Linked DNA regions of Diceros bicornis minor. The main gene of each other region encodes a partner of the protein of the gene in region 3 in a complex. Links are inferred from orthologs where the notes say so. Each region holds a gene or a part of one and is shown on either strand. Other genes may lie near its edges.

What was found.
Region 1: APBA1 (region 3) and LIN7C share a complex: the UniProt entries of both Homo sapiens proteins name them as parts of the brain-specific heterotrimeric complex. The link is inferred for Diceros bicornis minor from reciprocal best matches to the Homo sapiens genes APBA1 and LIN7C.
Region 2: APBA1 (region 3) and LIN7B share a complex: the UniProt entries of both Homo sapiens proteins name them as parts of the brain-specific heterotrimeric complex. The link is inferred for Diceros bicornis minor from reciprocal best matches to the Homo sapiens genes APBA1 and LIN7B.
Region 4: APBA1 (region 3) and LIN7A share a complex: the UniProt entries of both Homo sapiens proteins name them as parts of the brain-specific heterotrimeric complex. The link is inferred for Diceros bicornis minor from reciprocal best matches to the Homo sapiens genes APBA1 and LIN7A.

Annotation. Positions count from the first base shown.
Region 1 is NC_080746.1:83,526,412-83,533,397, forward strand, and holds the start of LIN7C (protein lin-7 homolog C), read right to left. Parts: upstream 3,035-6,986; 5' UTR 2,959-3,034; coding exon 2,640-2,958; intron 360-2,639; exon of another isoform or gene 168-359; coding exon of another isoform or gene 161-167; intron 1-160. UniProt on the Homo sapiens protein: Plays a role in establishing and maintaining the asymmetric distribution of channels and receptors at the plasma membrane of polarized cells.
Region 2 is NC_080773.1:24,606,820-24,613,949, reverse strand, and holds the start of LIN7B (protein lin-7 homolog B), read right to left. Parts: upstream 3,001-7,130; 5' UTR 2,982-3,000; coding exon 2,945-2,981; intron 2,519-2,944; coding exon 2,400-2,518; intron 2,108-2,399; coding exon 2,036-2,107; intron 1,048-2,035; coding exon 838-1,047; intron 182-837; coding exon of another isoform or gene 116-181; exon of another isoform or gene 1-115. UniProt on the Homo sapiens protein: Plays a role in establishing and maintaining the asymmetric distribution of channels and receptors at the plasma membrane of polarized cells.
Region 3 is NC_080761.1:23,668,207-23,676,009, reverse strand, and holds the start of APBA1 (amyloid-beta A4 precursor protein-binding family A member 1), read right to left. Parts: upstream 3,028-7,803; 5' UTR 2,966-3,027; coding exon 1,778-2,965; intron 1-1,777. UniProt on the Homo sapiens protein: Putative function in synaptic vesicle exocytosis by binding to Munc18-1, an essential component of the synaptic vesicle exocytotic machinery. May modulate processing of the amyloid-beta precursor protein (APP) and hence formation of APP-beta.
Region 4 is NC_080764.1:39,186,640-39,193,791, forward strand, and holds the start of LIN7A (protein lin-7 homolog A), read left to right. Parts: upstream 1-4,143; coding exon 4,144-4,225; intron 4,226-7,152. UniProt on the Homo sapiens protein: Plays a role in establishing and maintaining the asymmetric distribution of channels and receptors at the plasma membrane of polarized cells.

The DNA.
Region 1 (6,986 bases), on a different chromosome or scaffold from region 3:
TTGGAAAACAGCATCTTTGGGAGACACAGGAAAATTGAATATAAAATATGAAATGTCACAGGAAAGGACTGGGGCTCAAATGTGATAGACACATGAACATTGTATTGCTTCAGAAAAGCTGAAAGTATTATCTGGAACTATTTAGTCAATAAAAATTTACCTGTCATTATTAGTAATCAAAACACTGAACAGTACAAAACACTGTGTGCCAGTGAAGTCACTGTTCATGTCCCAAAGGAAAACACGATATTCATGCAGACCCGAACTGTTCAATAACAGGTGCAGTTAGTGGCAGGGACACATTTAAAACAATGGTACAGGGGCCAGCCCGGTGGCGCAAGCAGTTTAAGTGCATGTGCTCCGCTGCGGCAGCCTGGGGTTCGCCAGTTCGGATCCCGGGAGCGCACCGATGCACGGCTTGGTGGGCCATGCTGTGGTGGCGTCCCACATAAAGTGGAGGAAGATGGGCACAGATGTTAGCCCACGGTTGGTCTTCCTCAGCAAAAAAACAGGAGGATTGGCAGATGTTAGCACAGGGCTGATCGCCTCACAGAAATAAATAAATAAATAAAATAAAACAATCGTACAAATGAATAAAATCAACTGGTCTGTTTTCAACTTAGGATAATTAACACAATGTTTTAATTAAGCCAAGCTCAATCAAATACATACGTGTTTACAAAATAGAAAAATAAAAATAATTAGTTTTGTCATCTGATCTCAATACTAGCGGTGTGATCTTGGGCAAGTTACTGAACCTCCCTATGTCTCAGATTCTCCACTGTAAAATGGAAATAACAGTACCCTCCTTAGAAGAATTACCTGACAACTAAACCAAAAAATACACGGAAAAGGGTCTGGCATGTAGCAAGCAGAAATGTTATGTTACATTGGCACCAATTAATCATAAGAAATAGTAAGCGGTTGTACACATTTATACAGATATATTAAGCACGTTAGGCAATTCGCATTGGGAAGTGTGAGCATAAGTGTTTAACGAATTAAGACATTTTATAAGATTCAGGGTCATGCTACAACACTGTTAATGACTGTCTCTATTTTGATGTTTTTCTTACCTATTTTTGTACCCCAAGGGGCTAGAATATCTATTATTCTACCATTCCTTGCCTCCTTTTAAGTGGAAGAAGTTCTATTATACCAAAGGACTGGAACTTTTTCTTTATAGAATTAATATGGCCTTCTTTGTGTTTGCAGCTGAAAAACTAGGAATAAACGTAGTGAAGAAAGAAGTAGATTTTTCAATTTCAGGTAATAAAAGCTTAAACTGATGTGAATCAAATGCAATGCAAACACACTTTCCCCCATTCTGATACTCTACCACTAGAATGGCTGGTGGATGGGGACTGTTGGTTCATCAGCTATTTTGACTTACAAAGTTACAATATGTAAGCTACATGAAAATTTCCAATTACCAAAAAAATTGAAAAAAGTAAAATACTCTCTACTGAACCCAAGCTGTACCTAATTTGTGCTCAAATGTGTTCCACTGAATCATATGATAATTTAGAAGACATTCAGGATCTTAATCATATGCACTCATTTTATACTGTAGGATTATTGGCAGTGTTAATAAAGTTTAAACAGAATTCTAAATAAGAAACAGAGTTGATGTAATCTGACTTTCTTATCCTGCTAGATGGCAACCGCTAATAATTCATCCTACTAAGATGCTGAGCATTCTACTGTGGAACTGAAGAGAACTCTGAAACAGCAAAAACAAAGCCATGACTACCAAAACTAAATGCCAGAAGTTAAGTTTCACATTTTGTTCTGCACTTAAAAATACAAAAGACTGCCAACATGCTAAAATCCTAAAACTGGCTTTCAAAGAAAAACACCTACTCCTGTTAACACCAAACAGATTTGTTCCCATCGACAAAGCACAGTGCCATTGTGCTCAGGAGGAAGATGTCACCGTCTCAGGCCTAACTTAGTAAATCTTCCCAAAGTTGCTACTTCTCTGTCAAAAATGATGCTTTAATTAATGATCTGGCGGGCTGGGGGGTAACGATGTCGTTTATAAACGGTGAACACCATAAGGAATCAACAATGTTAACTGCACATTGGCTTGTGTGAAGGCATGAGGAAAGAGGTTTCTCTAAATACAACAATTCTAAAAATGCATTCCCTTCTCGGAGCAGAAGTTACTTAATATTCAGAGCATAACTGCAAATGTTAGTATTTCCAAGATATTTTCAATCTCCATCCTATACTTTGTTTACTACTGTACTCAAGATATTTAGTTTGTACTTCTTGACTCTTACCAACGACTTCTAATACTGGTATGCCAAAAGGATGCTTGAAATTGCATGAAATAAAGGATCTGCGGAGGAAAGAGTGGAATGTGGAAAATCTGTAAGAGAACCCTGGTAGGGGCATGGCCATGTATTCTCACTGGCTTTTGGGTCTCTAATTACTCAGCAAAACAAGTTTTATTTTCCTTGACAGTTTCCTCTAAAAAGCAAGCAACCAGCCACAGTGAGCAGTTGTAGGGTTTGTAGAGAAGAAATAAGACTGCACTTGCAAACATTTTACAATCTACCACTATTCCGGCTAGTTATGTAACCTTCTTCCCAAGAGCAAATCAGCAGGACTGTTTTAAAGCACCTTCTCCGTACCTGGGAGGGGCACCAAGGCCAGGAAATACCCCAAAACAAACAGGAGTGAGGTGTGGTCAAGGCAATGACGGGTTTGTGCGTGCACAGGAGCGGTGCTGTGGGGACGCGCTGTGCGTCCAGGACGCGTGGGTGCAGGCGCGGCCGCCGGGCGCGTGCATGAAGGTGGGCAGCCGTGCAGTCCGGCCGGCCGGGCGTGGGAGGGGTGCCTCCGGGCGACGCGGCTCTCAGCCCGGGGCCCATGTGCGGCGCTTGCGGAGGCGGACAGGTGATGACCCGCGCTGCGCCCCGGGACGGTCCGTGCCAACTGCGGTCTGGGCATCACTCGGGAGACCGCAAGCGCCCTCCCTGGGGCCGGGCGCCGCGACGTCGGCGGTCCCCGGGAACAGCGCGAGGGGCAGCCTGGCTCGGGCTCGGAGCCTTGGCCGCCCCTCTCCCCCCGGCGACACGGCCCGCCTCCACCCCCTCCGTCCGCCCCGGCCCCGGCCCCGGCCGCACTCACCCCGCTCCAGCCGCACTGGCTCCCCCAGCGCCGCCATCTTCTTGCTGTGCCCGCAGACCCACAGGAAATGACGACAGAGGGGCGCGGCGGAGGGGCGGGGCCTACGGGAGCCGGGGGGCGGGGCCGGGCGGTATCGCGAGAAAGGGAGCGGGGCCTGGGGGCTTGGGGGACCTCGCAAGGTGGAGGCGTGGCCGGCTCGCCAGGTGGGCTCCGTGCTGTCCCTCCCGGGGTTCCAAGGTTCTGAGTTCCTCGGCCTCCTGAGGTTGAACAGGGCCGCCTTCACGACCTTTGCTCCCTGCCTCGGGATTTAACGTCGTCCCACCCGCTTGGAGCCCTTGGCTCCACGGGGAAGAGTCTGGAGTCTTGTCCCAGCTTGACCTCTACCGGCTCTGTGAGCCCGGACTGCGCGCTTACGCTCTTTCGGCCTCAGTTTCCCCATCTGTGCCATGAAGGCCCCATCTCCGAGGTCTTTTCCATCCTTCAACTGTGGGATTCTGTGACAATCAGGCGTGTCATTGAGATATTGTAAATTCTCCTTTTGTGGCAGCGTTGCTTTAATTTTAAAAATCAGGACAGGAGCCTTCCCTCTAAATCTATTTGCGAGTGAGATTGGAAAGTACGGGAAGCGTGAAGCGCGCCTGGGTGAGTGAGCCAGAGAACAAGGCTCTTTGGTGCACCACGAAGTAACAGTTTAAAAAAGCTGATCCAAAATCTTATGTAAGTGAAATGTCATGAAGCCGTGATATTCTTAATGCGTTACAGAGTCTTAGGGCCACTTTTGAAAACTTCATGAACCAAGAAAAATTTTGTCCTCAGTTTAAATGGAATATTCATTTGCCCGGTGTTTAGATTCCACTAACATTTATTCAAGCCCTGGTCTGTGTTGATAATATCTTAGGTGTTTTCATATACAAGTGTTCAAGACTTCATGATAGGATTGTTTAAACAACCTCCAGGTTGCCCCTGGCCCACCCTTTCCACCCAACTATAATGCTTTCTTCTAATCCATCATGAATGTCACCACTATACCCGCTTTCCCCCTTGAGCCCTGATTTCATCATCAAAGGATTCTGTTCGCAAACTTTCAGTGGTTTCTCACCCTGTTTCCTCTTTCTGAAGCTTTGCGTACTTGACCCTAACATCTATCTAACCTCGTTTCTCGTTATCCCTCGAATGCAACCACCACTCAGGTTGAGGTGGCATATCCAAAACCATGTTTATTCTTGATTTTAAGTCTTCATTTATGTTGCTCTTATGTGGAATGCCCTTCATCTCCTCCACTTCTCCAAACTGTATACATCCTCAGACTGAACCCATCCTCCCGGTCCCTGCTGAAGACACTCCACTTCCACTAAGCTTCCCTTCTCCATCCTCCTCCCCTTCTTTGGTACATGATGGCCCTTATACCTGCAGTAGCACTCATGTGCTCATGTCTTATTCATTGTTGTCATTTGTTCCGCCACAAAGGTGTTCAAGAAGTGTTTGTTAAATGTCTCATGTCTGCCAGGTGCCTTCCTAGGCACTGAGGGTACCATGTGGAGAGAGACAAATGCAGACTTCGCCCTTATTTCTTCCAATATTTTTTCTCCCCCATCCTCGGGCTCCTCTCCTTTGATGACTCCACTTACAGGTGTATTCTGCTGCCTGGCATTATCTCACGGCTCACTGATGCTCAGTTCATTTTGTTTTTTCAAGCTTTTCTCTGCTTCCTTTCTTCAATATCTAATATTCCCTTAATCCCATTTGGTTCACTTTTCATTTTAGACATTGTAGTTTTTATCTCTAGCAGTTTGATTCAGGAGTGTGTGTGTTTTTCTGCATCTTTCATGTTCTTACTTAACATACTCAGTCTTTCCTCTAGCTTCTTGAACATATAGAATACAATTATAATGGCAATTTTAATGGTCTTATCTACTAATTCTAGCATCTGTGCTATTTCTGGTACTGTTTCTATTCATTGATTTTTCTCTTCATTATGGCTCATAATTTCCTGCTTCTTACTTGACTGGTAATTTATATGTATGGTTCTACTCTGCCTGGCAGGAACAGGAACTATTCTCATGAACGGAGATTGTTGATTGTTTACTTTGCTCCTTTTGAATGATCCTTTCCCTATCCTTGGTAATTTCTTTTTTTTTTTTTAATAATTTTATTTATTTATTTATTTTTTCCCCTAAAGCCCCAGTAGGTAGTTGTATGTCATAGTTGCACATCCTTCTAGTTGCTGTATGTGGGACGTGGCCTCAGCGTAGCCGGAGAAGCGGTACCTCTGTGCGCGCCCGGGATCCAGACCAGGCCGCCAGCAGCAGAGCATGCGCACTTAACCGCTAAGCCACAGGGCCGGCCCTATCCTTGGTAATTTCTTAACACATAGAATCATCATGAAATTTCAGAATTCCGTGAATAAGTAGAAGATCCTAAAATTTTCAGAGAAATTGAAAAGAATAAAAAGCTACATTCTAAGGACTGGGAATCAGAACAGTTATAGACCATTAATTATTTGAAGCATAGGTAAGGAAGAAAAAAGTTTTAGGAGCTACTTCTGAGTGAAGAAAATATGATTTAATTAACAACAACCCATTTGTACTCAACGTACAAAATAAAAGAATCAGCTACTGTATAAGGAGAGATTCCCTAAAATGTCCCTCCCTGATTCGTAAATCCTTGAGCGTTAGAATTGGGAGAGACCTAGAGAGTCCCACTCCTTCACTTCACAGAGTGATCGCTGTCCTGGGTCTCAGAGGAGGCCGCTGTGAGCACAACGTGACAGAGCTGCTTTAGCTTTTATGCCCCTGCCGGGTTGTTAAGCCACCAGGCTTCCCAATCAAGAACTACTCTTCCTCTGGAAGAGCTCCTCTTCACCTGTTGCTTCCTCATTTAACTTCCTGCCTCGGAGGGAAAGAGGAACACTCAAGTGAGAATAGGAAGTCTGAGTCTAGACAAATCCCAGTGAAAGCTAAATTAAGCAAATTTAGTCTTTATAGGAAAAATTAAAGTCCTAACTAGGCAGCCAGGGCATGAAAGCTTGCTTTCTTTCTTTCTTTCTTTTTTTTTTTTTGCTGAGGAAGACTGGCCCTGAGCTAACATCTGTTGCCAACCCTCCTCTTTTTTTGCCAAGGAAGATTAGCCCTGAGCTAACATCTGTGCCATTCTTCCTCTATTTTGTATGTGGGTTGCCACCACAGCATGGCTGACAAGTAGTGTAGGTCTGTGCCTGGGTTCTGAACCTGTGAACTGGGCCGTCAAAGGGGAGCTCATGGAACTTTAACCACTATGCCATGGGGCTGGCCCCTTTGTTCTTTTGTTTTTTGCTGAGGAAGATTAGCCCTGAGCTAAGATCTGTGGCAGTGTTCCTCTATTTTTTTTTTTAAAGATTTTGTTTATTTATTTATTTTCCCCCCAAAGCCCCAGTAGGTAGTTGTATGTCATAGCTGCACATCCTTCTAGTTGCTGTATGTGGGACGCAGCCTCAGCATGGCTGGAGAAGCAGTGTATCGGTGCGCGCCCAGGATCCGAACCCGAGCCACCAGCAGCGGGAGCGCACGCACTTAACCGCTAAGCCACGGGGCCAGCCCAGTGTTCCTCTATTTTGTATGTGGGTTGCTACCACAAGCATAGCCGATGAGTGGTGTAGGTCCACGCCTGGGATCTGAACCTGTGAACCCGGGCCACTGAAGGGGACCGTGCCTAAGTTAACCACTAGGCCTTGGGGCCGGCCCCGAAAGCTTTCTCAACTTGTTGCAAATACAATGTGTTAAGACAGTATCAATTAAGAGAAAAAGGGGGTGGGAAAGTTGGGGGTGGGAGGCTGTCTAGAGAGGCAAGGAAATGGAAAGAAATGTGAGGAA
Region 2 (7,130 bases), on a different chromosome or scaffold from region 3:
GACAAAGTCCCAGCTTCTCAGGCTGGCACTTAGGCCCTGCATGGCTGGCCCCAACCACCCACCCAGTTATGCCTCCATCTACTCTAACCACAGTGATTTTAATTACCTGCATGCCTCAGACCTCCATCAGAATCAAGCCCTTTCTCTTCAGCTCAGAGGAATGCAGAGTCACAGCCTCTACCTACAAAACCCTCAGCTAGAAAAACCCTTCTCCACTTTATTTTCTTGGAGAACTCCTACTCATTCTTCAAAACCCAACTCAAATGTTCCTTCCTTGGGGCCGGCCCCGTGGCATAGCGGTTAAGTGCACGTGCTCTGCTGCTGGAGGCTCGGTTTGGATCCCGGGCACGCACCAATGCACTGCTTGTCAGGCCATGCCGTGGTGGCGTCCCATATAAAGTGGAGGAAGATGGGCACGATGTTAGCCCAGGACCAGTCTTCTTCAGCAAAAAAAAAAAAAGAGGAGGATTGGCATGGATGTTAGCTCAGGGCTGATCTTCCTCACACACACACACAAAAAATGTTCCTTCCTCTACAAAAACTTCCCTTATCTACACTGGTCTGGTGCCACATCTGGGCTCTCACAATGCTTTCTGCTTCCTCATTATTATCTCCCTGGATTAGGACTATTTCAGTCAAAGTTTGTCTCTCTCATCAGAGAGGGAGTCCTTGAAATGTAGGAGCTGAGGCCAACTTCTCTCAGGGTCTGCAGCAGTGTCCAGCACAAGGCTGGACATAGAGGCAGTGTTCAGTGTGTGCTGAAGGAATGTCAAAAACAGGGACTATGCGACCTTGGACAGACTGTGACCCCAGCTGGACCTCAGCCCCCCGACTCACCACACCATTCACCGACAGCAGCTGGTCCCCACGCTTGAGGCCTCCGTGGCGGTCAGCCACGCCTCCAGGGATGACACGGGAGATGTAGATGGGCGAGTTCTGCTCCTTGCCCCCCATAATGTTGAAGCCCAGGCCCTCATCTGTCTTGGGCAGCTCCACCACCCTGGGATGTGCATGGCCCTCACTGGCTGTGAAGGCGGCCACCGTGGCCTGGGAGAGAGAAAGCATCGGAGGTGAGGGCCCCTCCATGGCAGGCGAGCAGACTGGGGTGGAGGATCTGGGCCAGAGAGAACAACTGAGGCCAGATCACTTTCCCCAAGCACGGGGCCCCTGCCCCAGCTCCCCACATGCTCACTCTGTAATGACCGTCTGCCCCTTTTAGTTCACTGTGCATGCTTCAGACGTGTCAAAGAGAAAGTCGCCATTTGTTGGGAGTCTTGAATACTCGACACTTGCCAGTCTCGCTTTTTAACACAGAAAAACAAGGCCTGGAAGGAGCTAAGAGCCTCCAGGAAGCAGCAAGAAATAGCATCTAACTTTAGTTCAATAAGATTTCATTGTTTGTTGGGTGTGCGTGCTCCACTACTGGCGGCCCAGGGTTCAGATCCCAGGCGCCCACCGACGCACCACTTGTCTGGACACGCTGAGGCCGCATCCCACATACAGCAACTAGCAGGATGTGCAACTACGACATACAACTACCTACTGGGGCTTTGGGGAGAAAAAGAGGAAAAACAAAAAAGGAGGAGGATTGGCAATAGATGTGAGCTCAGGGCCGGTCTTCCTCAGCAAAAGAGAAGGATTGACATGGATGTTATTAGATCAGGGCTGATCTTCCTCACAATAAATAAATAAATAAATAAATAAATAAATAAATAAATAAAATGAAATAAAAAGATTTCAGTGTTTAACGCTATTTCATTGTATAGATGTTTAAGGTTATCTTCTAATCAGGCATGCAGTACTAATTTCTGTTTGTAGTTGCTAAAGATGCCTTTACATAACATTTGTTTAAGTTAAAAATATGAGATTATTTAAAATAAATTATAAATAAGTAATAGTAAGGGTGGTACACAGATTTGGCAAAAATCGTGAAAGAGGAAGGAAACAGGAATAACTGACATTAAGAAGATCCTGAGCTAGATAGACCATGCAGTCCAGTGGATACCATGAGCGATGGAAAGTGGGAGGCGTCTACCTTTGCTGTGGCGTGGGCCCGGATCTCAGCGCTGCCGGTAATGTCCAGCGTGTCATAGAGCTGCTCATATACCTGGTGAGGGCGCAGCAGCATCAGGGAGCCGCCAGCCACACAGCCCCCCGCCCCCCCGCCCCCTTAGAGAGAGGAGTCCAGGCCCCCAGACCCTCCCACCCAAGGATCCACCACGCCCCCGCAGCACGGAGCCCGAGGAAACTACAACTCCCAGAGAGCCCCGGTGCCGAAGCGCGGGCACCCCAGGGCGGACCGCCCCAGGCGCTGCTGGGAGGCGTAGTCCCCGAGCTTGGGGCGACCAGGAGGAGGACGGCGGCCGCCCGCTCGTGCCCCGGTGCCGCGCAGCTCTCACCTCCCGGATGGCAGAGCAGAAGCGGCTCTGCAGGACGCGCTGGAGGGCCTGCAGCTTCTGCGGAGGCAGCTCCCCGCTGCGCTGGAGCCGCTCAAGCAGCTCCACCGCCCGGGACACGTCTGCGGGGCGGGGGCGGGGGCGGGGCGCGACAGAGTCAGAGACGCGAAGACGCAGAGGCACGGAGAGATGCGGTCGGAGACCAAGTAGGGGCGAGCGCAGACAGACCCCGGGAAGGACAGCCGAGTCCCAGTCGGACACCCGCAGGGTCGCCGGTGGCAAGGGAAAGACTACGACCAGCTGGGCGCCCTGCGTCCCCAGGATCCCCATACACACACAGGCAGGGGTGTGCAGCGGACGCCCCCTCCCTGGCCCGCTCGCCCACGGACCCTCCCACAACCCTAGATCTCCCGACTCCCGGCGCCCGCCCCGCCCACCCCCGCCTGGTCCGCCCGCCCACCTGCCCGGGCCTTGCCGGGGGAGGGGAGGGGAGCGGGGTCCGGGACGAAGGCTGCGGGCGAGTGGGCAGGGCCCCCTGGCGAGCTTACCCCGCTCCAGCCCCAGCGGCTCCACCAGCGCAGCCATGTCGCCGCCGCCGCTGCCGCCAGCCGCCCGCCCGGCGCCCGCCGGGTCGCCGGCGAGGAGGGCGGGCCCGCGCGAGGCCACGCCCCGGGCGACGGGCGCCCGCTGCGGAGGCGCGGCCCGGCGTGCGCGCCGCTCCACCTGCTGCGGCCGGTCTAGCCGCCCTGCCTCAGCCCGCGTCAGTCGGCCCGGTTTGCCACCCCTCCTGTTGCAGCCTCTGTCTGTCTGCCCTGCACGCCTCACCTGTCTATCCCCTTTCTATCCTTTTTTCCACATTCATTGGACAAACGTATGTTAAACATCTGGGCCCAAGGTGATGGACGCGATGGTGAGCAGAGCAGATAAGCCCACTGCCCTCCTGGAACCTAGTCTATGGGAGGAGGGAGGTGGACAACCAACTACGACTGTGATCAGAATTGGGAGAGGGGAGGTGACGATCTAGGAGGGACACTGACAGAGTCCTTGAGGTGGGGCGTGAGTCACTTTCCAGGCAGAAAGAGCCCACATGGCTGGTCAGCAGAGTGACGATTGGGGTGGTTTATGATTAAACGGTTGGCAGGATACAGTTTATGCATGGCCTTGTGTGTTGGCATGCGCGTGTTGAGGATTTTGGACTTCATGGTAACTCCTAAGAGTAAAATGTCCTATTCAAATGTGTGCTTAAAATCACTGTGGCCACGGGGGATTGGGAGCAAGAGTGGAAGCGGGGACCAGTGAGGAGGCTATCCAGCAACCCGGTGAAGGCTTGGACCAGGGCAGAGGCATGGAGGAGAAGTGGACAGATTTGGGGGTGTCTGGACATGTCTTGGTTATGAGGACTGGGAAGTGGAGAAGTGGGTATTAAGTTGCTTGCGGGGCCTTTTGCTAAGATGGTCTATGCTGGAGGAGGGATATTGGCTGTTTTGAATTTGAGGAGCCTGTGCAGTGTCCAAGCAGTTTGGGGAATCTGGGCAAAGGTGGTAAATAAAACCATAAGAGTGGACAAGAATGCTGGGGGCAGAATATAGAATGAAGAGGATCTAGGACTGAGTCCTCCACACTCCTAACCTTTAAAAGTCAGGAGGGGGCCGGCCCCACGGCTTAGCGGTTAAGTGCATGCACTTCGCTGGTGGCAGCCCGGGTTCGGATCCTGGGCGTGCACTGAGGCACCACTTCTCTGGCCATGCTGAGGCCGCGTCCCACATACAGCAACTAGAAGGATGTGCAACTATGACATACAACTACGTACTGGGGCTTTGGGGGGAAATAAAATAAATAAAATCTAAAAGTCAGGAGGAAGCGAAAGCATGGCCAGAAAGGTAGAAAGATAAGCAGGTAGGAGAAACCATGAGAAGGGAGTGTTTTGAAAAAGGAAGTGGGCAGTGGTATCAGATTCTCAAGAGAGGCCTCTAAAGAAATGTAAGAAATGTAGACAGGAGCGTGGAGAAGTCTGGCTGCTGCCCCATTAGCCGGATGGGGATATGGAGCCCAGGAAAGTGCGAGGACTGAAAGCAGGTCTGTCTATCCCTCTCCTTCATAGTACTTTTCTCTTCTAATTTTAACAAAAAATAACGTATTTACAGAGTTAAGAACAAAATCAAATGATACAGAAGGGCTAATATTGAAAAGCACCAGCCCCTGTCCCTGTCCTAACTCTGCCCACTGCAAGAGGCAATGACTTAGAGATGTTTAATCTGCTAGTTGCTTCTTTAAGGAACATGCTATTTCTCAATTTTCAACGTTAGTAATATATTACATATTGATTTTCTGCTCTTACCACCTTTTCCCTCTCCCCCGTGGTAGTTTTATGGTACTAGCTTTTAGGTCAGTCTATAAAGTGCTCACGTTATGTCTAAGTACTCACTGTTTACTGCAGAGCCCAGGGAGTGTTCTGTGATGACATTTCCTTTCTTGAACAGCTTCTGGTTTTTTCTGTGAGTTCTATTTTTGCTTCATTACATTCTCAATTTCTTTCAAACTCTCCATCACAACAGATAATTTACTGAATTTTTTATCCTGAAACTCTTTGGAAACTTCAGTCCTCTGACCCCAATCTGGACTCTCTAGAACCTGCCATTTTAGGACTACCCTCCACTGCTCTGCTAAACTGGATCTTGTTTTTTTTTTTTTTTCTTTTTTGGTGAGGAAGATTCGCCCTGAGCTAACATCTGTGCCCTTCTTGCTCTATTTTGTATGTGGGACACTGCCACAGCATGACTCGATGAGCAGTGTGTAGGTCCACACCCAGGATTCGAACTGGCTAACTCTGGGGCCACCAAAGTGGAGTGCACGAACTTAACCACTATGACACCAGGCCAGACTTTGTGGTTTCCTCTTTTAAATCCCTCATTTTGGGGCCGGCCCCGTGGCTTAGCGGTTAAGTGTGCACGCTCTGCTGCTGGCCGCCTGGGTTCAGATCCCGGGTGCCCACCGACACACCGCTTCTCCGGCCATGCTGAGGCGGCATCCCACATACAGCAACTAGAAGGATGGGCAACTATGACACACAACTATCTACTGGGGGTTTGGGGAAAAAAAGGAGGATTGGCAATAGATGTTAGCTCAGAGCCAGTCTTCCTCAGCAAAAACAGGAGGATTAGCATGGATGTTAGCTCAGGGCTGATCTTCCTCAAAAAAAAAAAAAAATCCCTCATTTTGGTGAAGTATATCCTCAGTTAACCTCCTAAAAAGATTGTAAGATTTCTCTTACTTTCAAGAAAGTTTGTCTAATTATTTTCCCTAGCACTTCTAGTGTTTATAACAGGAATGTTTCAGGTTATGTAGTATCTAGTCAACCACCAAATGCACTAAATTCTTAATTTGAGTTATTGTATCCCAGTTCTAAAATTTCCATTTGGCTTTTTTGTGGTGAGGAAGATTGGCCCTGAGCTAACATTTGTTGCCAGTCTTCCTCTTTTTTTGCCAAGGAAGGTTGGCCCTGAGCTAACGTCTGTGCCCATCTTCCTCTATTTTGCATGTGGGACGCCAACACAGCATGGCTTGATGAGTGGTGTGTAGGTCCACGCCCCAGGATCTGCACCTGCAAACCCCAGGGATGCCAAAGTGGTGCGTGTGAACTTAACCACTATGCCACCAGGCAGGACCCCCATTTGGCTTTTTTTAAAAAAAGATTCCAGATCTCTGTTACAATTCTCCATCTTTTCCTTATTTTGTGAACACGTAGTTATTTCAGTCTTGATAACTCCAACATCGGAATCATGTCTGGGTCTGTTTGTATTGTCTATTTTTTGTAATTCAAGTCCTCTTTCTAGCATACCTGATAATACCTGATAATTTCTGAGTAGTCAGTGAGCGTTGTGTGCTAAAAATCATAGCGGATCTGAATGGTATCTTCCTCCAAAGAGTTAGGTTAAGTTTTCTTCTGGCAGGCAGATCACCTAAATCATGAGGTCTGATTTCAGGTTTTCTTAGGCCTGGTCTATTTCACTTGTGGCCTTACTTCAAATGATGTGTCTCTCTGGAGACCTCAAGCATGGCCACTCCACCTTGGCAGGCCTTGGACCCAAACCTGTCGCCTCCAGAAGCGCATGGCTGCCGATATCTCTGCTCAGCTCCTTAGCCTCGTTACTGCTTTCTGAGTCCCTTGGGGGTCGTGCAAGGACAACCAGCAGCTTAGGAGTTGGCAAATGCCTTGACAGGAGATTGCATGTAGATTTGGGGGCTCAATGCCCCATCTGGGAACTTTAGCCAGCTTTCTGGTGCAAGCTCTGTGAAGCTAGCCCAGTGGAGGACTGCCCCTTTGCGTGTATTCCCCCAGGCTAAATTGGCAGCTGTCCTCAAGGAAACAGCGAGGGTCAATATGAAGTTCACCTCTGTGTGCTCTCCCCCTCAAGTCTGGCCTACAACAGTTGCTCCCCAATGCCTTTCACAAGTTGTTCATATATATTGTGTCCAATCTTTATGTAACTGGTCTGTGCTAGGTTAGTTCAAAATGGGCTGTTCTTTGTAGCCAGTTCCACAAGTCTAATTGCAGTATCTGGGGTATCTATGAGCATACTAATTAGGGGTATTAAGTTCTCTTTTATTCCCTCAATTGTTTCTTCCAGGACCAGTTTTTCTATTTATCTTGTGGTCTCTTGTTGCTGGATTTTCTCAAATGCCTGTGGTCTTTGGTTTGGTATGCTTATAAGGACTCAGGCAGCTAAAAAGCAT
Region 3 (7,803 bases):
CAGAGGAGAGATTACAGGGCGTCGCTGACCCAGTGCTGCCCCCTTGCTGGGGAGGATGCAGAGCCTTTCCCGACTGGTGTCCAACTTTTCCTTAAAGGTGCCAGTGACTTAATCAGCTAACAGCAAATGTTGACTGTTACTAAAGGAGGAGGTGAATGACACTTCTCTGACCTGCATAGCCCTTTACGTATAAGTAAAATGAACAAACAGCTTCCAATAATGGTTTCTCACTCCAAAAGACATACTGAGAAACAGCCTGGTGCAATCATAAAATACAGAATTAAATGAAATTGAATTTAACCTCTTGACCCTTCTTTTACTCCAAGCTCCCATTTTAAATGAAAGTGCTTAAAAATTATCCAAGAGAATGGAGAAGTGAGAGTCAGAGCAGAAAGAGAATCTTTAGAGCCAGGTAGTGGGGGCAAAGGTTAGTCTTCTTGATTTATTTTGAACAGATTGTGACACCCACGCTTGCCATGTTATCAAATTTCTTGGGTATTTCAAAAATGGAAAATAAAATTTCGACAGGGGCGGCAACAGCTTTCTGTAGCTCTTCATAAGGAAGCACAATTCAGTTTAAAACCCCAAACACGTCTTGTGAAGTGAGAAGGACGCCCTGGTACCACCAGAAGTGAAAATTAAGCACTTACTGAAACCGACAATGAAGCACAGGGTGGGTAAAAAAACTGGAACCCCTGGCAGGAACGGGCTCAGAAGGATTTCCTCCAAAAAGGCTACACTGCCAGCCGCAAACCTTTAAGGGACTGCTTTAAGGTTGGGGTTCTCAGATTGTGGTCCTGGACCAGGAGCAGCAGCATCACCAGGGAACTTGTTAGTGGCAATGCTGAACTTCACCTGAGCCCTGTGAGCCTGGAAAACAGTCAAGGTTAAGGAAACACCCCTACCTTTTGTGTTCAGGAAACAGTTTACTGCAAAGAAACCCCTTGCCCATATGATGCAGGTAAGACTCCCCCGGAGTCCCCTTGTTTACCTATGACAAGGCCAGACACAGACCCTCCAAATTCCCATTCTTTGCCTCACAAATGATTGGCTGAACTGCTGATTAATCAGAACAAAATGCTTGGTAACCAACCTTTGGTTAAGCTTGTCTCCTTCCTCCAGGTCCCTGAACTTTGGCCAGCCTACCACCTGTCCTCAACAGCCCCTCCTGAGAGTAGGCTGGTCTCGGCTTAAAACATTCTCTCCTGGGCAACACATTCAAGCCAATCTTTCATCCCACTGCCTCAGCTCTTGTTCGTTCTAGCCTTGTTTACTCCTCCCTAGAAAACAAACCCCCTTTTTGCCTAACCCTAGAGACCCTTGCAGATCTTACAGTCAGAGGTTGCCCTGTTGCAATATTCCTTTCCAATAAAGTCTCTCCTTACTTAATCCGGACTTGTTTTGTATTTGACAATAGAAATACAAATTGTCAGGCCCCAGACCTTCTAAATGAGAAACTAGGGGCGGGGGTTAGTGCGCCTAGAAATTAATTTCTGAACAGGCGCTCCAGGAACAGTTTGAGAACCACTGATTTACAGCAATCCCTCTAAGGGTCTGATAAGCGCATTCAACACTTCAACTCCCTCCCACCTGTGTTTCACTCACAGGCGCTTAAGTGCAAGCCGTTTGTGAGGCTTACGCTGGACACGTTTTTAGAGTTCCCACAGACCATTTATCTCATGAAGTCATTTCCCAGTGACAAACAAGGCCACACAGCACCCGTCTCCCCTCCTGGCCGCGCGTGGAGGCGAGCAAGCCTGAACCCGCGCATACTTACATCTCCATCCCCCGGCCTCTGGTCATCACAATCCCTGGTGGGGCTAATGTCCTGGCGCATGACCCAGATGGGCTCTTTGGGCTCGTCGGGGGTGTAAGGCGAACGGATGGTCTTGGTTTTCACCTCCTCGATGGCCTCCTTGATGTCCTTAATGGCCAGCGAGATGGCATCCCTCTTCTCCTTGCTGTACCGCTGCACCGCCTCGCCGCCCACGGTGCCCGCAGCCCGCTGCTGCCCTGCCAGCGCCTGCAGCCCGGGGCCGTCGGGGCGGCCCCCGCCGGGGGTAGGGGCGCGCTCCAGGTCCTGCTCGGCCTCGGGCATGTCCTCGGCCGCCTTATCGAGGCTCTGCGAGCTCATGCTCTGCCTGACCTCGGCCACGATCTGGTCGATGTCCTCCTCCTGCTCATAGCTGTCCATGCGCGGGTAGGGCGCGAACTCGGCTTCCTTCTCGGGGCTGTCGGACTCGCCGTCGGAGCGCTCGTCGTAGTGGTGCAGCCGCGCGCCCAGGGCCTCCTGGCGGTAAGCGGCAGCCTCGTCGCGCTCCTGCTCGTACAGCCGCAGCCCGTCGCGCGCGTCCAGCTCGGGCGCGTCCCCGATCTCCTCGTACACGTGCTCCTGGAGGCCCCCGTAGTCGGCGTAGGGCTCGGCGTAGGGCTCGTCCTCGCCGCGGTGGAAGAGCCGGTGCGTGTAGACGTACCCCGAGTAGGCGGCGTTCATGGCCTCCTCGTGCTCCAGCGAGTGGAAGTGCAGGTGGTTGGGCAGCGCGCGGCGGTGCGTGGCCTCGGCGTGCTCAGCCTCCGCCTGCTCGGTGTACTCCTCGGCCTCGGGCCGGTACTGCACGGCGTAGGCGCTCTCATCCTCCGGGTCCTGCGCGCGCTCCGCGTCGTAGCCGTCGCGGGCCGCGGCGATCACGTCGCCCTCGGCCGTGTCCGTGTGGTTGTGGAAGCCGCTCTCCGTGCTGGCCGAGCGCGCCAGGCACTCCCCGCGCTCCTCCTCCTCCGGCTGCCCGGGCTGGGCGCAGAGGTCCTCGACGGCGCGCCCACGCGGGGGGCGGCCCGCATAGTGCTGCTGCCGCTGCTCCTCCTCCACCTCGGGGTGCTCCAGGTCGGCCTCTACCGACTCGTTCACCTCCCCGCCTGCCGCCTCGTCGGTCACCTCCACCTCCGCGGCCCCCTCCAAGTGGTTCATGGTGGGCGTCGGGGACGGCTGGGAGAGAGGCTAGGCCGGCTCAGTGCGCTCTCATTTTGCTCCACCAGGCTGGAAAAGCAAGAAGGGGAGGAGCTGTTATGTGGTTCAGGCTGTAGTCATGAGCTGAGTACCAAGATAACCATAAAAACAGCTGCTATTGATCCCTTCTGAATCTGGGCCAATTAAAAAATGATTGCAAATTTAAGCTCAGTCTGACAGCACGTAGTTCATTTTCTTCGTAGCATGTACATATCTGCTTGTTCAATTGCTTACTGGCCTTCTCCCTTCCCCACCCCTCAGAATGGGGCCCTCAGGAGCGTTTTGTTCTCCCTATGCTTACTATTCAGGTCGTTTCTGATGCATATGAATAAAGAGTACTACTAAAGTGAATAGGCCAACTGACACATTATCCATCTGCTAAGGGATAAATCTCTCTAAATTAAACTAGGATCCTAGATACTTTAGAAACGAGTCTTTAAATAAATTTCAAGTAAAAAAATAATCTTCAAATGTTTTGAAGCCACTGCTGTCACTACAAATATGCAGCCAGTCTGAGGGAGGCTATCAACCATGAACGGGTTCACCTCCTGTCATTACTGGCTCTGTTACCTTAGACAAGTGGCTTAATTTTCTGGATCTCCACTATGAGACTGGAGTCATTTCCTACAGCAGGATGTTAACAGCTCTTACACAGGGAAAAAAGACTCCCTGGTCAAATAAGTCTGGGCAATGCTGACTTAGAGTTGACTTTTCATTGTGAGTATTCAAAGGGAGGGAGATACAGGATGCAGGGTTTCCCAAACTTGTTTCGAGGAAACACTTGTTTCCTAGAGGCCAGAGTTCTCTGACAAATACACTTCAAGAAACACTGACTAGCTCAATTTCTGCAGTACACCCAGGATCTAAAATTCTGTGATTCTATGAATTACCATTATAGCTGGAACTGGAATAATATGGCTAATTTCTTAAAAATATGAGTAGGTCTCTTTACCTATTTCCAGAGGAATTTGTAGCTAGAGAGACAGACTTGGTTTTAACCTCTCTCAAGTCTTCTGATCACAAAATAGCTTTATAGCATAATCTGTGTCTAGTGTATGGAATAGATACACAGGATGTAAAGAACAACAAAAACAGGTAGAATCCCTGTGATTTCAAGACACCTGTGGTAAATGGGGTCAACGATGTGTGTAAACTTTTCTCTGAGTGTTCTTTTGGGAGCCCATGTTACAGACGGACAAAATGGATGGGAAGTGAACTCTTTAATGTAATAGCAGAAAGCTCCAGGAGGACCAGGGACATCTGAATGACTCTCTAATATTGGGATGCATTATATTCTACTCAACTCCCTACCACAACCATAGCAATTCCCTTCAAGCTCTATGCCAATCCCAGTAGAAAAGGAGGCCATTTTGGAGCTAGCAAGGTCACCCTCAAGCAGAAGTATCATCTTTCCCCCATTCTTTGATGGATCCACCCCTGACTGACATACACTGGAAGAAAACAATTATGGCTTTCTAGAGATGATCCATCCTTATTGCTTCCCTACTTGACAAGAGTCCCACTTTATACAAATTAGACCTAGTCTCCTTTGAAAAACTGTGGCCTCTTATTAACCCCTGAGAAAAGTGGCTGTGGACGAGGTATAAGAAAGTTTTCCAAAAGCAAGTATGAGTCTCCATTCAGACTTTGATGGATGGTTAATGCTCTGAAGAGAAGAGGCAAGTATTGGTGCTGAGGGTCCCCTGGTTAAGTGGCCTCCAGTGGATGGTGGAAAATACAAAACAAATATTCAGTTCAATACAACACATGGACAAGAACTGTCTACCCACGTTTCCTTTATAAGGACTCTCTGGAAAAGACAACAGATTAAAAACCACATTAATGTACAAATCCAAGTCTGATGAACACAAAACAAGTGTTCAGAGAGAGGGATACTAAGCATACTAAACACTTTTCCAGGTACTGTTACCCTGCAGTGTGTCAGCTGTGTGTGAACAGTGTTAGAAATATAATTAACAACCATCTGAAGTACCAAATGGCCAACAATTCATGATAAACACCTGCAGAACTAACCAAAACACTGTCTTCAGTGAAAATAGATTTTATTGATGAAAAGCTATTGATACATATATTAAAAAGAAAGTTTATTCTTGGTTAAAATTGTATTTGACCCGCAAATGGCGCCCTCTCATACAGCACTGATTGATTCAAAGGAAATGTGATTTCCATGCTTGTACATACACTAAATCATGGCAAAGAAAGTTATAAGAAACCTGTTTTTTAGGGGGAAATACTGTTAAAATCATGTAGCTTGGTAGAGTGGAGTTTTCTCTTCACTAAGTCCTTTCTCTTTATACCCTGATTCCCAATCCTCAGGGGAGTGTTTAGGCATGGAGTGTTCATATTTTACTCACTGTCATGGTTTAAAGAATATAGGTGGGGTTGTGGTATTGGCAACATGCCAATTAATAACAGCCATTGATTTGAGCATTTCCCTAGGACAGAGGCAACTAGCAGCTTCTAAGGATGGAGCTGACGTCGGTGGTCAGCTCCACTGGTAGCACGAGAGGACTGTTCCCGTACCCTGGCAACTTTGGGGGTGGTATTTATAAAAAAATATGGAGGCTGTTTTTCAAGAATCCCAGGTTACTGTGGGAATATATATTGATACAACCTTTTTAAAAAGCAATTTGGCAAGATGAATTAAAATCTTCAAAAGATAACATACCTTTGTCCCTACCACTAATTACTAATAGAAATCTAGAAGGAAAAACTCAGATGTGGTCGAAGATGTTTCTCATGGTATTTGCTTAAAAAGCAAAGATTATGAACACTAAATGTTAAGTGCTAACATGTATTAAGTACCAATAAGTACAGTGCTAAGCATGTTAGCTCATATTGTGATCCAGGGAGATGTGGGGTTTTCTTGCTGGGTAGCTCCACCTGGGGTTCCCACAGCACCCAAACTCAACCTGCCACAGCTGAACAAATCATACCTCCTCCCCCTGCCTCCCCACCCAGGGTCCCAAACCTGGCCCCCCTCCTGTGTTTCCTGTATGGGTGAATGGCACCACCAGCCACCCAGTCGCCCAAGCCTCAAATCCAGGAATCATGACTGACTGGTCTCTTTCCCTCACCTCCTTCCCCAAACTGATGACCGAGTCCATTGTCTTAATAATTCTTGCATCATCCTCACTGCCTTATCGTGGTCCATCTCGCCTACACAATTGTTTCCTTAACTAATTTCTCAGCCTCCTCCAGTCCATCCTCCCCACTGCTAGCCTGATGATCTTTCTAAAATACAAATCTGAATCCCACTACCCTATTTCTCAAATTCTTCAGTGATTCCTCTCTAGTGCATAATATGAATACTTAGATAACTATATACCAGGCACAACTAGACATTTTCTACATAATGACTCATTTAATCCTCATATTAGCCTATGAAGAGGGTACTTTTCTTTCTTCATAGAGAGAATTATCAGCTCTTTTAAATATGAAGAAATAGAGGCATGGTGGGGTTAAGCAATCGCCCCAGGCCACACACCTGGGAAGGCTGGAACTGGCATCTGACCCCTGCTCTCTAGCTCTGGGCTCTGGGTTCTTGAGTCCTACTCCCTGCAAACAAAGACCATGGGCCACGTCACTCCTCCAGCCTCTTCTCCACACTTCACCTGCACCCTGTGTTCCAGCACCCCAACACTGCCCTAACTGCCTTCCCTGCCCTCAGCATAGTTATCACCGATAACTTTTCTCTGGCGAATCTTTCTTATCTTCACTGGAGCAAGTTCATACTTGATGACTGTCTATTATGTGCCAGCCTCCAGGCAATGCTCTAGGCATGGGGACAGAGCAGTGACCAAGCCAGACAAGCTTCTGCGTTCTCATGAAGCCCCCATTCTAGTGCATGGGGCGGTGGAGGGAAAGGAGAGGGGAACAGACAATAATTATGTAAATAAACAAACCAGATAAGTTCAGAGAGTGAAGTGTCTCATGAAGGAAAAAAAACAGGGTAATGGCAAAGAAAGTGACCGAGGAGAGGGGGTTAGGTAGATAATGGCCAGTGGAGGTGATATTTGAGCTGGGGTCTAAATGATAAAGAAAGAGGCAGTCAAGTAAAGATCAGAGGATAGGGCCTTGAGGTGAGAAGGAACTTGCTGTGTCTAAGGACGGAAATGATGTTTGTGAAGTGAATAAGGGATGGTGTGTGAGAGATGAGGATGTAGAGATGGGAATGGGCTGGGAGGGCCTGGTACATCATGGTAAAGAGTTTGGATTTTATTTCAAAAGTAAAATCCTACTGGCATCCTACTGGGGAGGTTTAAGCAGGGGAGTGTTAAGGCCTAATTAACTCCTCACTTTGTCCCCACTGTACTTCATTTATCATTATATATGTCATTATTATATTATAGCACCTGCCATTCTGAGTAACAATTCTTAATAAATATGAAGTCCTTAGGAAAAGAGGACTTGTCAGGTATCTTTGATTTCCCAGTGCCAAGCACAGTTGGTAGTTAATGAATTTTTAGTGATTAAAAAAAATTTATTTCCCTTCCAATATCTGGGGCCTTCTAAACATTGGCATGCTCAGCCTTTGGAGAATAACTCATTTCTTCTTTCCATCTTGAATCTTTGCTGCCCTCATCCACCCGTGCAACCTCCTCCACCTTGTGATGCTTTAAGTGCCCAAAGAACTCTAGTGATTCAACATTTCCCTACATCTGAGTGTGCTGATCCGATTGGCATTTATTGGATATGTACCAGGCACTGTGCAAGCAAAGAGGATGCAAAAGTCTCTAAACCATGGTCCCAGCCTTCAAGGGCAGACAGCCTCAATA
Region 4 (7,152 bases), on a different chromosome or scaffold from region 3:
TTGTACATTTCATTGTATGATGGGCACAAGGTAATTCATGAAAAGGCTCATGACTTTTCTGTTAATTATATTATCTTTCACAACCTGACTCTCAATGGCCCTCTTTGGGCTTGTTTTTCTTATACTCCAAATTCAAATTGCCTGTTTGACCCAAACACACACCATATCCGCTCTCCCATCCCTGGCTTTGCTCTCCTGCTCCTCCGAATGCCGTCTCCCTATCTCTGTCTTTTGTAATCCTGACATTATTCTAGACCCAATTCAGTTGTTGTATTATTCATTGTTTGCACAGTACTTAGTCACTAACTGATCTCTTTCTTGTGTATTACTTTGTTTATTGTCTCTCTCCCCTGCAGAATATAAGCTAGGTGAGAATAGGGCTTTTTCTTGCTCCTTGCAACATCCCAATGCCTAGAACAGTGCCTGGCATATGTTAAGTACATTATTTGTTGAATGAACAGACAAATAAGTAGTTATTAAAACAAATCTAAGGATAAAATAAATTTAGTACCATTCTCTATTTATGATGATTTAAAAAAAAAACCCACAAACATTTATATTCTGAAGTATAGGTTGGCACTTCATCTTAATCCAGTGCTATTTTGACAAAGCTGTGAGAATTAAGGAAGATAATGTGATACCTTGAATCAGTCAAAAATAATTTCTAACACCCCAGGCTGAAAGAATTCCAGTTTGAAGGTGCTATTTTCCTCATATGAAACTGTGCTTATTATACTCCATTTATAATCTAACTAAACACATTTTCTCGGTATGCTAATGCTTTGTGCAAACCTTCTCTTAATTTTGTCATATAATTCAAAAAGATTCAATTAAGTGAAACAGACCTTAACGTAGCTTTGAATGAATTTTTTAACAAGAACATATTTTATATTTCAAGGTAGGTGTCATTTTAACGTTAACCTATATTTATGTAGAACAGAACCAGTATCATAGTTCTTTTCTCCTTCGACCTAAATTTCCTCCATACATTCCTCTCTTTGAGTATATATCTCAAGCCTAACAAAAAAAAAGAAAAAGGATCTATGTACATGGGTATATATATACACACATACCTAGAACTCTGAAATAAAAGGCTGAAATCACTAATCTTCAATAATACAAAATGAAGTGTGTTTCCTAATGAGAAGCAGAGGAGCTCTTGAACACAGGTGTGACTATTCTTAAGCAAGTCACTTAACCTCTCAGTTTCAGTTAACTTACCTATAAAATGGGATAGCAGTACCTACTTTTCTGGGCTGAAAAGAGGAGGAAAGAGAAACCAAGCTAGCACCAAGCACCACCTGGCATATACAAAGTGCTCAACAAGTATTTATTCAATTAATAAATTCCATTGAAAATGGAACTAAATTACTGAACTAAATTACTATATGACATTTAATAAAAAATTGTAGTGCTTGTGTAACCAAATAACCAAAAGTATAATCACAGGTGTTTTAACAATTCCCTGATTAATACACAACCAACAAAGCGACACACATATGAATAGATTGAGTATATGGACCTTGATGAAACACTGTGGTTGTCCAGGCAATTATTCAAGAGACCTAAGTATGGTCACATCTACCGATGCAAAAGAAGGGATTAAGGAAATGTTCTTATGTCTCTGCATGTCTCAAATAAGAATTCACAAATGTTATTGGACAGTAGTTAGCTGTTCATAAAAAACAAATTCTAACAGATAATGAATTATCTAGTATTCATTTTCTACACCTGTGTGGACATAAGCTAAAGGCATTGAACTTGCCCCTACTAGAAACAACAACTGATGAGTATATGGTGATTTGTGCTCCCTCTTACTTTCTCTTTCAGTCCTCACAAAAACTCTACAGAGTCAACACAGAGAGAGAATGATAGAGCAAATTTTCACTTAGGGAGCTCAAAGCATAAGCCCAGAAACATGCTGTTAAATGTCTGGTGCTGGGGATACATCAGAAAAGAAAAAGACAAAAAGCCTACCTCTGTGGACCTCACGATCTGGGATTTGTATTGAAATAGGTACAATTTTGGCTTTTAGACTTACGAATCAAGCCGCTCAAATGCATATTCATAAAAATGTGTGTTGTTAAAAGAACTCCATTAGTGGCCAGGGGATTTGTATGTTCTTTTCATCCTCAATTACTGAATGAGGTTTGATATTCTGTGCAAAACCTTGGAACATACTCTGCTGTTATTGTGCACATTCAACTTCTTTCTGTTGTTTGATTTAGGGGATGTGAATAATGCTAATCAACCAGAATTGTTGCTTCTTCCTCTTGCCCACAGCACTTCCTTTCTATGGCACTTAGAGCACTTATTGCATGGAATTCTCACAGCTTCTCATTTTTTATCTCCCAACCTCAACTGAGCACTGTCCAGGGAGAGGGCCACATCTCACTAATCTTTGCAGGGCCAGCTCCTAGCACAGTGCCCGCCCCACAGTTCAGGTGGGACGTATATTTGTTGTATGAAGAAATTTGTATAAACTTTACCATCTTCAAAGCACATTCATGTGCCTGACCTCATCAGATCCTCAGTGGCATTGCAGTGAGATTGAAGAATTAGTCCCCTTATTTTACAGAATCTCAGTGAGATTGAAGGTTATTAATCCCCTTATTTGACAGATGAGAGAACCAGGGATCAGTGAGAGATTACTCGATTACTGAAGAGCACATAAGTAAGACTTGCATTTCAAGATCAGGGTTTTTCTGAAACACTAAATGAAAACATAGGCATATTAAACTAGTATTTTAGGTATATCTTTCTGGTGTGTTAGGTGGATGGCCAAACATCTTTGACTTCCTCAACCATTGGTGAAACCTTGCTTTTTTTTTTCCAAATGTAGACCACAGGATGGAAAAGATCTTCAGAAACCGCCCATATTATAATCAGAAGAAAATGACATTTGAAGAGGGTCAAAAGGTACAAACTTGCCGAAACAAAAGATGACATAGATTACATGTAAATATTTTGCTGCAAAACGGTGTCTGCCTTTAAGAGTTTATTGCTAGCCCAAACAGCTCGTCTCTGTCACAGGGAAGGGGATGGAGGCAGGCAGCTTTGTCATTTCCGATCCTGAACCCACAGTCGTCACCATTCTACTTATACAAAATTTCTCTGTGCTTTTAAATTTATTAATCAGGAAATAAGAGTCCCTACACTGGCAAGATAGTGAAAGCAGTCTGTTGGGGTGAAGGGGTCACAGCCAGTATTTGAAGTTTCTAGTAACGGAATCCTTATCAACTGACTCTAAAGCTACCCTTTTAATAACATCATCTCCCCCTAGATTACAGGCTACAGGAAGGCAGGGACTGCACTGAATCCCCAAGTCAGGCCATGACACATGGCACGTAACACACGTGTTAATCAATCATTAAGTGGCAACTCTGAGTAACCACTGGTTATAGATCAACCTGAAAAACTGCTAGGTACATGTTTATCAAACTTCGTAGTAGAAACTTCTCTTCCTGTTTTTTTATTTAAAACCAGTTTTCAGAAGTTTGCTTTTAATGTTAATTATTTTCTAGGCAATATACTCAGCTCCTTAATGGACACCTAGTGATGGAACCCTGGCCTTGAGTCAGTTATCTTGTAAACTGTTATAAGTCAACATTCCAAAAACCTTTAACAGAAATTAACAGCAACTATACTTAAATCCCAACATTTCTGACCCTAGAAGCATTTTCTCTCTAAAAGGGATGGGATTACTGGGTTGACAATTTCTCTTAATCTGAAAAAATTTATCTCCATCTGCCTTCCCCATGTCCCCCTTTGGATCTTTTCCCTTCCCCCAGACACACGTATACTCTGACCATTTTATTTGAGTGGAAAGTTGAAAGAAAGCAACACGCCAGCTACACCCACCCAGCGCTCCTTGGGGTGGAATAGCCAAGTTCTGGGGCAGAGCCCTCGACCCCAGAGCTCGCGATGCAGTCGCTCTCCGATACCTGCTCAGCTTCACGCCGCATCTGAACGGCCGCCCGCCGCGGAACAGTTGCGTCTCCATCTGGCTGCCAACTCACCCAAGCTTTCTTCTCCTCCGCCACCACCACCTTCCCTCCTTCCCCCTCCTCCCCGTCCGTTCCATCTTCCCTCTCCACCCCGCCCCCAATCTCCTCCTCTTTTTCTCACTACAAGCGGTTGCTGATGCTGAAGCCGAGCGTCACTTCGGCTCCCACGGCAGACATGGCGACATTGACAGTGGTCCAGCCGCTCACTCTGGACAGAGGTAAGGGAACGGCTCGCCCGCCAGGCCACTGCGTCCCCCGTGCCTCTCCCTCTGCCCCTGCCAACTCCCACCGGGACAGCCGGACGCGCTCGGGCACGGGGAGCAGGGCAGCGGGGACGACCGAAGGAGGCTCTCGCGCCGACAGCAGGATACTTTCTTCCCCTTTCTCTGCCCGCCACGTCCCCGCTGCCCCTTCACGGTGCACTCGCCGGCCCAGGGGTGCCTTCGCCGGGCTCTGGCGCCCCCACCGCCACTCCCAGCCCCTCGCCGGGTCGCCTCGGGCCGCCGGCTTTGTTGGAGCGGATGCGCGGGCACCGCTAGGCGCCCGGGGCTCGGGGTTGGAGAGGGGCAGGGAGGAAGCTCGCCGTGCCGGGCGAGGGCGCCTGCAGCCGGAGACCGGGGAAGCCTGGCGAGGGAGCCGCCTGCCAGCCAGCGCGGCCGCGGGGCCCAGGAGGAAGGAAGTTTGTCCCGGCGCCGGGGGCGATGGTCGGTCCCGCAGCGGGTGCCCAGGCAGCCGCCCGGGGGCGGGCAAGGTGCACCCCAGGGTGGGCTGTGCCGGGACGCACGGCTGCTCGGCTGCCGCGGCGGGGAGCTGCCCTCGGCCGAAAGGGCAACGCGCAGCGCTGGCAGCCGTGCCCGGGCCCGGGGCGCGCGTCGCGGCAGCCGAGCCCGGCTCTCTCCGGCTGCGCGCCCCGAAGGCTGCGGGGGTCGCGCCTGCCCCCGCCGCCGGCAGCTCTCTGGCAAAGGCAACTCAGTTTCTCCTGCCCCTGCCCGCCTCGTTCTCTCCCAGCCCGGTGCCACCGCGGTGCCCGGGCTGCGGAAGGCGCTGGGACGCAGCGCAGCCTGGGTGGAAATGCAACTTCTGACCCGCGACCCTGTGCGTCCTGCTCTCCTGCTTGAACGCGGAAGCAGCGTTTGCTTCCTCCCCAGGACCTCCGCAAGCCTAAGGGGGGAATCCTCCAGTGTGATCCGGCCCTCTCTGGTGCAGCCGTGCGGGGTTATACCTGTCCCTGTGTGTCCGGGTTTCCCTTCTGGCTGGCGACGTCCAGTTCTGAAGGCGCTGGAGTCCCACGACTCTGCCGCGGAGGACACCTGCTCCTCCCGGTCCGCAGGGGCCGGATTTAGGACCCTGAGTGGCCGTTTGGAAATGGTGTGCTCAGACGAAAATGATTTAGTCCGATGTGTCTCTAAAAATATTCTTTCTAGCAGATCAAACTGGCCTGTGGGGCAAGGCAAAAAAGCATCCTGCTGCGAGAACAGTGGAAAAGCCAGTGAACTCTGTGAGGTTTTTAATTTGGAGAGGTTGTGGGTGACTTGAATGCAATCTGTTGGCTCCAGAACACATGTTATGTGGTACCCGTACAACCTTACTTGGCGTAAGAGTTGAAAAATAAAAAATAATTGATTTTATGTTGGGAAATGTTGATTTGCAAGCTAGTAAATTAATAACAGTAGTTAAAGAGCTCGGAAATGCATTGTATAATCCATGATTTCACCCCAATATCATCATCTGCACTAAAGCAGGATAAATCCATTGCCACTAAGAGCCAAACAGATGGCAAGCTATTAGAAATTATGGATTTCCCACGTATTTCTGTTTTAGTGTAATGAGCTCTTATATTGTCCCATTACTAAATCAGTCTTTAAACCTCTCAAGTAAAACGACTACATTAGGAGGGGAAAAAACAAACTCAAAGAAAATTGCATACTACTACTACTAAAAATATTTCACTTTTGGGGTTTTACCTCAGCGCTTAGATGCCTGGCTCAGTTGTGGGTAGGAAGTGCAATCAGACCAAAATCTATTCTTAAAGTTTGTTCCTGTTCACAACCAGTCTGCACCTGTCCTTCCCAGTGTGATTAGGTCCATGCAGAAAGTAGCTCAGGAGGCAATCTGAGTGAGACTATGGATGGATTTGAATCAATCCACCAGCAGCTCACTGCCAAGTCCATAATTTACAGATGATGGATTATTGGCATCATTGCTGTGCATGAAGTCAATATATATAAATATTTTTTTCTCTACCTTATAAAAATGATTAATTAATTGATTAATTGCATCATTAAACCAATGAAAGAAGGGGTTCTGGAAAATTTCCTACAGAGAAAGAAAGCCTTTCAAAAGAGGCAGCCTAATGATACTTACCTGGGTCCTAGTGGTAACTCAGATACTCACTTCGGATGGGTTGGTTAGCCTCTTTGGGCATCGGTTTTCCTCTGTGCCACATAAGGAATTTAGATTAGACGATTCTGACACTGTGCAGCTTTACCAGTCTATAATTAAATTAATTAAAATTAGGACTCAGTTTCTGGCTACCTACTGGAAGATTTTCCAGCTCACCCCCTCTCCCAGACTGTTTTGGTGCCCTTTGATATGTTCTGAGGCTACCCGCTGCTTTGGCTCCATCAAAGCATTTCTCACACTCTGTTGCATCTGTCTCCTCATTGAATGGAGCTCAAGAGACCATTTCTAAATTCATCTTTGTATTCTCAGTGGCTGCCATAGTCCCTGACTCACAGTAGAAGATCAAAAATTAATGTAAGTCAGTATAAGTGAACCAAGGACTGCAGTCACTTAAGCACTGTTAAAATATAGGATGTAGCGAACTGAGGTATGGCTCATAGATGCACATTTTGGCCCTGGGAAGGACGGCAGGGAGAACATAGGCCAGTGGTTCTTCAGCTTTCTTTTCCCCTCTACACTTGATGGATTCCCATCAGTAACCATAGCTCACCAAGGCTGTGATTATTAACCAAGGGGGATTGTGGCAGGTGGGCAAAGGAAAGGAGAGAAAGGAAAGAAAATGCCTGACAAAGTCTCCCCAGGGCATCTCAGCGAACCTGGATACATAATCCACAATTTGAGAGCTGCTGGTTCTTTTCTCACATCTTCATTTTTCAAATGAGAAACATGAAAGAAGCAATGA